Macaca mulatta: one gene and its partners. The protein of the gene in region 2 interacts with the protein of the main gene of each other region in a biochemical or structural test. Links are inferred from orthologs where the notes say so. Each region holds a gene or a part of one and is shown on either strand. Other genes may lie near its edges.

What was found.
Region 1: the proteins of SHANK1 (region 2) and WWTR1 interact in a test that uses a peptide from one of them, tested with the Homo sapiens proteins (2 studies listed by IntAct, with this or other methods). The link is inferred for Macaca mulatta from reciprocal best matches to the Homo sapiens genes SHANK1 and WWTR1.
Region 3: the proteins of SHANK1 (region 2) and CACNA1D interact in a biophysical measurement, tested with the Homo sapiens proteins (2 studies listed by IntAct, with this or other methods). The link is inferred for Macaca mulatta from reciprocal best matches to the Homo sapiens genes SHANK1 and CACNA1D.

The regions. Positions count from the first base shown.
Region 1 is NC_133407.1:52,659,054-52,663,386, reverse strand, and holds the start of WWTR1 (WW domain-containing transcription regulator protein 1), read left to right. Parts: upstream 1-1,449; 5' UTR 1,450-1,710; exon of another isoform or gene 1,711-1,865; intron 1,866-2,165; 5' UTR 2,166-2,168; coding exon 2,169-2,599; intron 2,600-4,333. UniProt on the Homo sapiens protein: Transcriptional coactivator which acts as a downstream regulatory target in the Hippo signaling pathway that plays a pivotal role in organ size control and tumor suppression by restricting proliferation and promoting apoptosis.
Region 2 is NC_133424.1:63,103,733-63,107,376, forward strand, and holds part of SHANK1 (SH3 and multiple ankyrin repeat domains protein 1), read right to left. Parts: intron 2,023-3,644; coding exon 1,855-2,022; intron 1,396-1,854; coding exon 1,279-1,395; intron 1-1,278. UniProt on the Homo sapiens protein: Seems to be an adapter protein in the postsynaptic density (PSD) of excitatory synapses that interconnects receptors of the postsynaptic membrane including NMDA-type and metabotropic glutamate receptors via complexes with GKAP/PSD-95 and Homer, respectively, and the actin-based cytoskeleton.
Region 3 is NC_133407.1:117,386,966-117,390,609, forward strand, and holds part of CACNA1D (voltage-dependent L-type calcium channel subunit alpha-1D), read left to right. Parts: intron 1-665; coding exon 666-787; intron 788-1,983; coding exon 1,984-2,304; intron 2,305-3,129; coding exon 3,130-3,423; 3' UTR 3,424-3,644. UniProt on the Homo sapiens protein: Voltage-sensitive calcium channels (VSCC) mediate the entry of calcium ions into excitable cells and are also involved in a variety of calcium-dependent processes, including muscle contraction, hormone or neurotransmitter release, gene expression, cell motility, cell division and cell death.

The DNA of each region.
Region 1 (4,333 bases), on a different chromosome or scaffold from region 2:
TTTGAACCCGGAAGGCGGAGGTTGCGGTGAGCCGAGATAGAGCTATTGCACTAAAGCCTGGGGGACAAGAGCGAGACTTCCCTCAAAAAAAAAAAAAAAAAAAAAAAAAAAAAGAAAGAAAGAAAGAAAGAAAGAAAGAAAAATTAAGGCACAGTACGTGAACTTGAAGAACATACAGTTCTGTTTTAACACTTATGTAATCAGCCCGGTGCTGTGAGAAGTGCTTTACATTGTCTCATTTGATTTACTTAATAAACTCCTATTTGAATCAAATGGAGTGGGGTAGGGGTTTCCTGGAATTTGGCTTACCTCGCCATCTCCCCCCACCCTTTCCCTTCAGTGGAAAGGGAACCAGAGAGAAAAGAAATTGAGCTGCTCTGAAGGGCAAGGCCTCCTCCCACTTCCCGCAGCTGTTTCGCCAGGCTTGACCTTCTTCCCTTAGCTAGAGGCAGGGGGTCTCCACCCCTCGCCCAGATCTAGTCGGTGGGAAGGTGGGTGGCTTTTTTCGGGTCATTGGCGCACCCTCCCTACTCCTAGCCACCTGCTCGGGTTCCATCCCAGCTCCAGGCTCCCTGGAGGGCGGCAGGGACATTCCAATCCTCCCACAACCCTCACGGATGTTGCGGGGGAGGGGGGCGCAACTGCTCTTCTCTTCCAGCACCCAGCTTTGACCCGGTTTCTTCTCAATCCCTAGTGGCCTGAGTCACCCCCGTAGAGGAAATTAAGGATTGATGAATGGTTTGAAAGTTGTTTGTTTACAACCCACCCGTTGGCGAAGCCGCATCTCCAGTGACAGAGGCACTTTCTGGGCACCGTCTGTGCTCTAGCAGACAATTGAGAGCCAGGCAGCCAAGATGCCTCCTCGCCAGACCAAATATGGTCACAAGAGCTAAGCAGCCTCTCGTGGAAAGGCTGGCCTTGTTGGAGTCTCCCCACGCCGGGGCGCACCCGGGCCGGCCTTCGGGCAGAATCGCTGGTCAGCGCGGCGCTCCGGGTGCTGCCGGCCTCGGCGTCTGGCTGCAGGGGAGGGCGCGGTGTCCAGGACCGGCCCTTCCTAGGCCTGAGCCCCTCATCCGCTTGCCCTCCGCCACCCCCGGCCTTGGTTTCGGTCCACAAGCCCTTGATGAAACAGGCTCAGGCCACTTTCCCTTTGATCCCGCCCCAAGTCCGTGGTAAACTCAAAGGAACGCAGATGCAGGGCTCCGCGGGAGAGGTCCGCGTGGCCGGGAGCAGTGGGTGGGGGGCACCCGTCTCCTCTTACCCAGTAAAGTACCCATCACGCCCAGGGTTTTCTGGAGCCGGAGTGGGAGGAGGAGGAGGAGGAAGAGGAGGGGCGAGCGGGGGCCGGCCGGCTCGGGACTAGGAGGTCATACATAATTCAACAGCTCAACTTTCGGGCCCGCCTCTTTCCTGGGGGTGGGAGTTTGCTCCAAACTTTGTTTATGGGACAGTCCGGGAGCTGCTGCGGCCGCGCTGTCTGCTTCTCCTGCGCCTCCTTTTCGCCCAGCGCGAGCTCCTTAGGCCAGCTCGGGGGATGTGAGAGCCGAAGCCCCTAGACTGCCAGGCACCGAGTCGGGTCAGGATTTGTCAGCCAAGCCTCGGCTCCAGCTCCGCAATCTCGGGACTCACCCGAGCGACCCAGGCCCGACGGCAAGTTCGGGCGGGACGGCGGCCGCCTCGCTCTCAGGCTCAGCTTCGCTGCCCGCCCAGGTAGTGCCCGCTGGAGCTCGCGCGCTCACCCGGCACCACTCCAGGGCTCCAGGCTCCCCAGGCTTCCGGAGTCGAGACGTGGTGGAGTTGGCTCGGGCTGAACTTCTTTCGGGGGGCTGCCTGTCCGGGAAAGCTGCGACCTTTCCTTTGCCATCCTGCGGTTCAGCAAGCCTCGAGTGCAGTTACTCCCTCCACCCCTCGCCCTTCCTTCTCCTCCTCCCGGCAACTTCTTTGCTTCAAGAAAGTTGCATAATTCTCGAGGCCAGGAGGGACCCCTCCCCCATCCTGCTGGTCTCACCGCTGAGTGTCTGGGATCTCCAGGCGGGCAATTATCTGTCTCCTCGTTTCCTTTTCCCTCTATTCTTCCTCCCACCATCTCGCCCTCTCACCCTATAACCCTTTTACCCACTTCCTCCGACTTTAAATAAAAGACTGATCTGACCTTCTTTTTGCAGAAGATGAATCCGGCCTCGGCGCCCCCTCCGCTCCCGCCGCCTGGGCAGCAAGTGATCCACGTCACGCAGGACCTAGACACAGACCTCGAAGCCCTCTTCAACTCTGTCATGAACCCGAAGCCTAGCTCGTGGCGGAAGAAGATCCTGCCGGAGTCTTTCTTCAAGGAGCCTGATTCGGGCTCGCACTCGCGCCAGTCCAGCACCGACTCTTCGGGCGGCCACCCGGGGCCTCGACTGGCTGGGGGTGCCCAGCATGTCCGCTCGCACTCGTCGCCCGCGTCCCTGCAGCTGGGCACCGGCGCGGGTGCTGCGGGTAGCCCCGCGCAGCAGCACGCGCACCTCCGCCAGCAGTCCTACGACGTGACCGACGAGCTGCCGCTGCCCCCGGGCTGGGAGATGACCTTCACGGCCACTGGCCAGAGATACTTCCTGAAGTAAGTCAACTTGGAGCCGAAGACGGCACCAAGGCACAGTGCCCAACGCGCGCGTGTGTTCGTGTGTGTATGTGTGTGTGACACACACACAGAGAGAGAGAGATGGTGTGTGTCCTTCCACGGTTATTTCACAGATATGGAGAGCTGGAAGCAGGGAGTGAGTCTCTGGGTGTTGGAATTGTAGGGATCAGAAGCGGAGGAGAGTGTGGTGAAGTTCATCCACCATAAAACACACAGGTGACTTTGCTCTGAATCTGCAGGATTGAAGCCAACTCCTGGGCACAGACCCTTAGTCCCTTCCTTGGCCACTCTGAGTCAGATAGTCCAGAGCCAGGCCCTTTGGGATGTGACACCAAGATAAATGAGAGAAAAGCTGTGAAGCTTGAGGAACAGAGGGACTTTTGGTGAAGTAGGTGGTCTGCAGGTTCTGTCTTCTTGGGAAAAGCAAGCTGGAAAAGTGAACAGTGGCTGGTAGGCCGTAGTGCTCCCAGCTGGGTGACATAATGACCACACAGCACAGTGATGTAATTAGCAACTGTGTGGTGAAGTAGCTGTGGGCTGGACAAATCAATCGTGTGGAAATTGTGTCAGGAGTTTTATTACATTAAACTTGTTAACCTAAAATACCATCAAATCACAAGCCTGCTCTTCTTCCTTTCACATTGTTCCAGCTTTTTGATGTCATGAATTTTACATTAGTTCAAATTATCACATTACACCCCACAGGAAAATATATTCTCAAACACTAGAGGAGATTGTTTCAATTGCGGTACCCTAAGATAACTACATTCTTCAGGAGAAACCAAGCTGGAACTTGAAATGTTCCATCGAGGTCATAGGGTCAGACTATCAAAGATGGAGGTTGTGCCAGCCTGACCACTTGGTTCAGGATTGCCTGCACTGCCAGTGAGGGAAACTCCTCTCCTAAAAAACTGACTTAGATTTCATTTTAAAGCCTATATTTCTTTAGTAGAGTAGCCTTAGTTCAAAAGACTATGTACAATTTTAAAACTTTAATCAAGCCTTTCTTTGGCACTAATATTTGATGCTTTGATTGCTATGAGAGAGCTTTAAGAATGCATACACAGTGATGGATGAAGTTTACTATAGTGAACCCTTTGACTCATACCAGTGACCAATTCCTATTCCTTCCCCATCTCAAGGCTGTTAGTATCTTGTTCAAGGAGTTCTTTTTGTGTTTCTGAGGTTGGTATAATGCTGAGATTCTGAAACAGACTTGATGGTCATTTATGCCACGGCTGGTCTTCTCTGGGTTATTGAGTGATAGTTTGTACATGTGCTCAGTCCTTTGACTTCTAAGTAGCGGGTGGAGTCAAGTATGTGATGTAATAACATGACTTTTTTTTTTTTTTTTGAGACAAAGTCTCACTCTGTCACCCACGCTGTAGTGCAGTGGGACAATCTTGGCTCACTTGCAACCTTCGCCTCCCGGGTTCAAGCAATTCCCCTGCCTCAGCCTCCCGAGTAGCTGGGATTACAGGCACCCACCACCATGCCTGGCTAATTTTTGTATTTTTAGTAGAGTGGAGGTTTCACCATGTTAGCCAGGCTGGTCTCGAACTCCTGACCTCAAGTGATCCGCCTGCCTCATCCTCCTAAAGTGCTGGCATTACAAGCTTGAGCCACCTTGCCCAGCCCTACATAATTTCTAAACTGTGTTTATGAATATATACACACATACGTATGGTATATGATCAGCATTAACTGTGATTA
Region 2 (3,644 bases):
ATCTGCCCGTGGGGCCGGGGCTTCTTCCCCATCAGCTGCACAAGGGCCTGGGAGTCATAGGATTGGTTGCGAGGCCTGCGCGTCGCAGAGCAGGAGGCAGAAGCACACAGGGAGAGAAGTGCCGGAACCATGTTGGTTCGGTTTGAAAAGCACTGAGTCTTCCCTGGACTCCAGGCATGCTGCTGGCTGCCACCAGGCAGCACGTGGCCACCCGCCAAATCCCCAGCACTGTAAGTTCTGCTGAGGCAGAGGGGGCTGAGGGCTGTTTTGGAAGACTTCCTGGAGGAAGGGGGCTGATAGACCAGCTCTGTCATGCGAGCGCCTGTCCCTCTAAGTACCCCCACAGCTGCCCTTCAAGGGCAGGGAACATCGAGAAACAGGTGGGGAGACTGAGGCTTTCCATAGGGCTGACCTGCCCAGGATCATCTGCAGCACAGGCGGCTAAAGTACCAGAGGTCATGATACTGAAAGCTCTGGCTCTTGCCAACCAGCTGCCATGAGATCCCCTGCCTGCTCCGTCCCTCTCCTCTCCTAGGAACTCTGGAAGTGGGGATGTCCTTCCCGTCTTCCTTCAGCACTCCCTTCCTGCTCAGGGACCCAGGTTGTCAGGACCCCCAAGGTCCTGAATTGCTAAAACTCCCATATCACTCGTTCCCTTCAGGGGCCACAGTGGCTGCACGTTGAACTTTCCCCTGTGCCCTGCCGTGCCACCACGTGGCACCTGCACACACCACTGGCTGAATGGAGACACAGGGGAACTGAGGACCCATAGCCCCCTTTCCTCTGGTTTTCTGCACAGGCTGTGCCCCCACCCTGGAGCACCCCTTTCTCCCCTTTTCTACTCCTGCTCATCTCAATACTAGGGACACCTCCTCCGGGAAGCCACCTCCACCCCCAGCCACTCTATCTCAAGCCCAGTCCCAGATGGGGGCTCCCACAGGGATCTGCATTCCCTGTGACTTTGCTCTGAGCACTCTGGATTGTAGCAGCAAACTATGTTGTCTGCCCTCTGCTAGGCCATGAGCTCAACACTTTATCCCCAGCACCCAGCTCCGGGTCTGATACAGAGAAGGAGCTCAGTAAATATCTGTTGGATGGATGGATGGATGGATGGATGGATGGATGGATGGATGGGTGAATGGATGACTGGATGAAAGGGTGAAATAGTGAAGAAGTGAAGGGTGCAGTGATGCAGTCAAGAGGAGTATCTGAGCTTGGCCCTGGGGGAGGCAGCTATGAGGGATGCGAGGGGCCTGGGGCGGCCACTGCTAGGCAGACCTTGTTGTAGAGGGCGCAGATGTGCAGAGCTGTATTCCCTGAGGCGTTCTGGGCTCCAGGCTCAGCCCCGTAGAAGAGCAGATGCTCCAGGTGCTGAGAGTGACCCCGCTGGCAGGCCTGGGCAGGACAGGGAGCGAGGGGCATGGATCAGACCCAGGCTGTTCTCCCTCTGGGCCAAGAGTCTGTACACAACCTGTACACTGGCCTTCTCATCCTATCCTTCACCACATCCACCTCCCCATCACCTTTTTGCCCCTCTTCCTGCTCTGGGACCCAGGCTGTCAGCCTCACAATCCAAATGTTCAGTCATTCCAAGGCCCAGGAGTCTGGTCTGCCTCCTTCAGAGGGCCAAGAGGCCAGCCCATCCCTCTTAGGGATCAAGGCGTCTGGTTCCCCTGCCTATGCCCCCTTAGGGTCTTCGTGTCTTCACCCCCATCATTTCCTCTTTGGGGACCATGTTATTCTTACCCCCATGCTCTGTGAGGACCCTGGCATCTGGTTCCCAGCCCCAGTCCCTTGGATGCCTCAGAGACTGGGTCCCCCACCCCAGCCCTTCATGGCGTGAATCAGGAGCACCTGGTGGATTTCCTGCCAGCCGTTCTCATCAGCTATGCCCAGCTGGGCCCTGTTGTACAGGAGCAGCTCACAGCATCGGGGGTCACCACCCACCATAGCCGTGTGGAACAGAGGGGTCAGCCCCCGACGGTCCTTGTAGTTGGGGGAACCCCCAAGGTCCAGGAGCGCCTAGGAATGGAAAGAGAACCCAGTAGAAAAACACAGATGACAGTCACACATTAACCAGCTCATTCTGAAGGGCCAGGGGAACTGGACTGTCCTGGGTGACCCACAGTGGCCAATGACAGTGACAGTCTTAGTTCTGCCATGATGCCCTTGTGCGACCTTGAGGCCGGCCCTTTCCCTCTCTGGGCCACTCTGATCCCCTGTGAACAACGTGGGACTTGGGTAGATGCCTCCAGAGGACCCTGGCACTCTGACATCCCACCCAACCCTTCCCCTGGGGGTGACCTTGGATGAGCCATTGAAGGGCATTAGGGGCCACAGTACCCATCCATTCCACCTCCTACAGGTGGGTTGTTGGGGACAAATGAGAGGCCAGAGTCTGGATGCTGGAGGGTCTCTGGCCAAGTGGGAGGTGTTATTAGGTCCAGGATCTCAAAGAAGGGGCATAGCAGGAAGCCAGGGGACAGACAAGTGAGCTTGGATAAGGGGGCAAGGATCGGGCCGGCCTCACTGGGGCTGCAGGCCACTTCCTGCTCCCCCTTGAAAGACAACTCTGGGTGTGGAAGGCTGGCAGTAATGAGCATTAATAGGAGAAAGTGTTGGCAGCAACCTTGTATGAGGACAGCCTGTAGCAGTGCCATCCAACAGAACATTCCACCATCGTGGGGATGGTCTGCAACTGCATCACCCTATATGGCAGGCACGTGTGGTCCCCTGAGCACTTGAACGTGGCTAGTGAGCCTGAGGAACTGAAATTTTAATTTTACTTCACTCTAATTAATTTAAATTTAAACAGCCCCAGGTGGCCACTGGCTACTGGCTTGGATAGCACAGGTCTGGAGGCTGGGAGGGGCGTGCATGAGCAGGATGTGGGTTTGGGAGTGAGTGTGCATGGGAGATACATGAACAGGGTCTGTTAACTCCAGGGGTATACTGAAGATCTTTGTGGCTGGTGTCTGACTGCATTAGGGGCTCTTCAGGAAAGAATCTGAGGGAGAGAGGGGAGGGGCCATTTAGCTGGAGCATCCATGCATTGGGGTGCTTCTCAATGGCTGTCTTTGGGGGCAGCCCATCTTGACCCGCATATGAAGAGGAATCAAGTGTCCTGGCGGGGGCAGGGGGAGAAGAGTATTTTAAAATTAGACTGTGCAGCTGACGCCGTGTATGTATTTTGTGGGTGTATGGGTTTGTCTATTTGGGAAAGTGCATTTGAGGCTGTGTACGTGGGGAAGGGGCTGTATTTGCATGTGAGAGAGGAGGGAGTGGAGCTGGTGCAGTGCTGGGTTTGGAAGGGTAGCTGGGGGACTGTTTTCAGGGTGTGTGAGGAGGGGCTCTATCTGGGGGCATAGCAGGGAACTCACTTTGCATTTTAAGGAATGAGAAGGGTTTACACCTTGGGGAGACAGAGGCAGGTTTGGTATTGAGCTGGGTCACAGGGGATGGAGATGTTCTGGGTGTTCAGGGGAGGAGGCTGCGTCCGGGTCTGCATGATGTCAGCTGTAGCCCAGGTGGGTGCACCTGGGGGACCTGACAAGGGTGACAATAGGGGCTGTGTGTCAGTCTATGGAAAGGGGCTTTGAACTGGGGACATGCGAGGGCCTATTTTTACAGAAACCAAAGAACTG
Region 3 (3,644 bases), on a different chromosome or scaffold from region 2:
ACTGATCTCCTGGGCCTGGTGCCCTGTGCAGCTGGGAGCCGTGGATGGTCTTGTCAGGCTGTGTGTGAGCCTCTGTCGGAAGAGCTGTTGGCAGGACAAGCGTTTTCTTAAAGGTAGGGTTGTCCTTGTTTGTCTTCAGTGCTAGAGAAGCTGAATCTTTCCCAACAACAAAAAAATTTGCTTATTAAGCTGATCAGTGCAGTTAGTCCCTCCCTTTAAAACACGTGTAAACACAGGAGCCCCAGCAAGATATGTCAGCCCCTGGGGACACTTAGGGTATCTGGAAGGTGACAGTGGGAAGTGTCGTGGGGTTCTGGCAGGACTTGGGTTCTTGCACTGAAGTCCTGTGTGCACCCCACAGTATGCAGGGCCAGGGCTTCTGACTCGGATCAGTTGCCCTAGGGGCTGCCTTCGCTCCTCCTCCTGAGAACAGGCGAACATTTAAAGGTAGTAAGTTCGTACTTTTAAAAACATCCCTCACTGGGGCTTCTGCCTTCATCCTCTCCTCCTAAAGTTTGGAGACCTCACTACCTAATCTTTCTCTCGGACAAACCACTTGCTTCTTCCTGGGCTCCTTGCTGAGCGTCCGGGACCACCCTGACTGAGAGACAGTGTCCCAGCAGAGAACCTGCTTCACAGTTGCATGATGCCCTTTGCTTTCCCAGCCCACCGCAGATCCTCCTTCAACTTCGAGTGCCTGCGCCGGCAGAGCAGCCAGGAGGAGGTCCCTTCATCTCCCACCTTCCCCCACCGCACGGCCCTGCCTCTGCATCTCATGCAGCAACAGGTGAGTGGCCCACCTGGTCTCGCCCCCATGCCCAGGGGCACCCCACATAGGACCCACCATCAGGTCTCTCCCTTCTCTTTGGCCTTAAGCACCAGGAGGGAAGGAGAGAATCTTCACCTACAGTCTGGTTAATCTTTGTAACAATCCTGCCAAATAGCTGTCGCCATGAGCCCCATTCTGCCCAAGCTCACACAAGCAAGCGACCGCTGGCATTGGAATCCGAGCCAGCTGCCAACGCTGGCCTCTCTACCCAGGTGCCTCCCTGCGACCCCCACCACCTCTTCCGGGCATTGAATACGGAGCCTGATGTGATCTGAGCTCAGGGGGCGGGGGCCACTTGGCTGACTCTGAACAGTCGGTGCAGCCCTTCATTTTCTCTAAAGTGCTTCCTTCGTTAAGTGTATGGGTCCCTCCGTGGGCAGGGCCGTGTGGGCACTATGCGGGCTTCACCTCCCCTGCCTACCAAGGGAGCAGTCTGGGGAGGACAATTTGCCCATATTGAGGGCGGCTGCACAGGCAGGAGGGTGGGGCCAGAGCCCACTCACCAGGGCTTTCCCTCGAGGATAAGAATATGGCGCTTTTTCTTTCTGAAAATATGACATCAGAGGTGCTATTCATTCGTGCACGATGGGGTGGTGGGCATGGACCTGTGCTGTTTACAGACTGGGTTCCCCGTCCTTCTCTGCAGAGTGAACCCTAAGGTGCATCTGCCGTGGTGGGATTGTAGGACCGGGCTTGTACACAGTGCTTTAGCACATGCAAAATGCCAGCTCTAGGATGCATTATTCCAGAGCAAAGAGAACCAGCTATGTTTTCCTGTAAGTGCTAGGAAGTGGTAGTTTCCCCTGAAGGTACTTCGGTATTTAAACCCAGCATGAACTGGGTGGTGTGTTCACACCCACGGCTTGTTGGGCTTCCCTGATTCTTCTTCATTCTGAAGCAATTTCATGAATTAGCAACTGATAACTCCTTGGGAAAAGCCATAGGAAATACATTATAGATTCGGGGTAAAAGAAAAAGTCTGCTAGAAAACCAAGTCGTCACTGCCCATTCATTCAGTGTACCCATGTCTCTTCCAAGTCTTTGCCTGGACTGCCCCTGGAGAACGCAGCGCCCGTGCTTGGTCTGTGTGCAGGAGGTTTGAGGCCCGGACCTCTGAGAACCTCTGGTCTCCCAACGCTCCTCTCTCTCCTCAGATCATGGCAGTTGCTGGCCTAGATTCAAGTAAAGCCCAGAAGTACTCACCGAGTCACTCGACCCGGTCATGGGCCACCCCTCCAGCAACCCCTCCCTACCGGGACTGGACACCGTGCTACACCCCCCTGATCCAAGTGGAGCAGTCAGAGGCCCTGGACCAGATGAACGGCAGCCTGCCATCCCTGCACCGAAGTTCCTGGTACACAGACGAGCCCGACATCTCCTACCGGACTTTCACACCAGCCAGCCTGACCGTCCCCAGCAGCTTCCGGAACAAAAACAGCGACAAGCAGAGGAGCGCAGACAGCTTGGTGGAGGCAGTGAGTATGGCTCTTGGCCATGGTGGGCAGGAAGCACCAGGAGCAGCAGAGGTGCAACTGCAGCAGCAGGAAGGGCAACAGCAGGAAGGGCAGTGGTGGGAGGGCGGCCAGGCTGTGAGCCAGGCTGCCTCAATCGGACACTTCTGAGCAGCAGGAATGTACCTGAAGCATGAGTAAAAACTGGTCACCACCACTGGGTGTGGTGGCTCATGCCTGTAATCTCAGCACTTTCGGAGGCCGAGGTGGGTGGATCACCTGAGGTCAGGAGTTCAAGACCAGCCTGGCAAACTTGGTGAAACCCCATCTCCACTAAAAATACAAAAATTACCCTGACATGGTGGTGTATGCCTGTAACCCCAGCTACTTGGGAGGCTGCAGCAGGAGAATCACTTGAACCTGGGAAGTGGAGGCTGCAGTGAGCCGAGATCACACCACTGCACTCCAACCTGGGTGATAGAGGGAGACTCCATCTCAAAACACACACACACACACACACACACACACACAAACAAAAACTGGTCACCACCATTGATTCTCATAAATGAGCTGTGCTGGCATTATAGGTGCTGTTCCAGCATATGTTTCTAGTTTATACTAAATGTCTTTCCCCAGTGGGTTTCACTCTTGTTGGACCATGTGTAGTTTTTTAGCTCCGGGACATTTTCAAAGCCATTTACATTAGTTATTATGTATGAGGTCTAGAAAACATGATTGAGCTGCATCCCCAAAGCACACGGTGCAGTTAGCACTGGAGTTTTCTGTCATCCCCCTGCCCTGCAAAGCCTTATAACACCCCCATGCCATCCATCCCTCTTTCCTGTACAGGTCCTGATATCTGAAGGCTTGGGACGCTATGCAAGGGACCCAAAATTTGTGTCAGCAACAAAACATGAAATCGCTGATGCCTGTGACCTCACCATCGACGAGATGGAGAGTGCAGCCAGCACCCTGCTTAATGGGAACGTGTGTCCCCGAGCCAACGGGGATGTGGGCCCCCTCTCACACCGGCAGGACTATGAGCTACAGGACTTTGGTCCTGGCTACAGCGACGAAGAGCCAGACCCTGGGAGGGATGAAGAGGACCTGGCGGATGAAATGATATGCATCACCACCTTGTAGCCCCCAGCGAGGGGCAGACTGGCTCTGGCCTCAGGTGGGGCACAGGAGGGCCAGGGGAAAAGTGCCTCATAGTTAGGAAAGTTTAGGCACTAGTTGGGAGTAATATTCAATTAGACTTTTGTATAAGAGATGTCATGCCTCAAGAAAGCCATAAACCTGGTAGGAACAGGTCCCAAGTGGTTGAGCCTGGCAGAGCACCATGAGCTCGGCCCCAGCTGCAG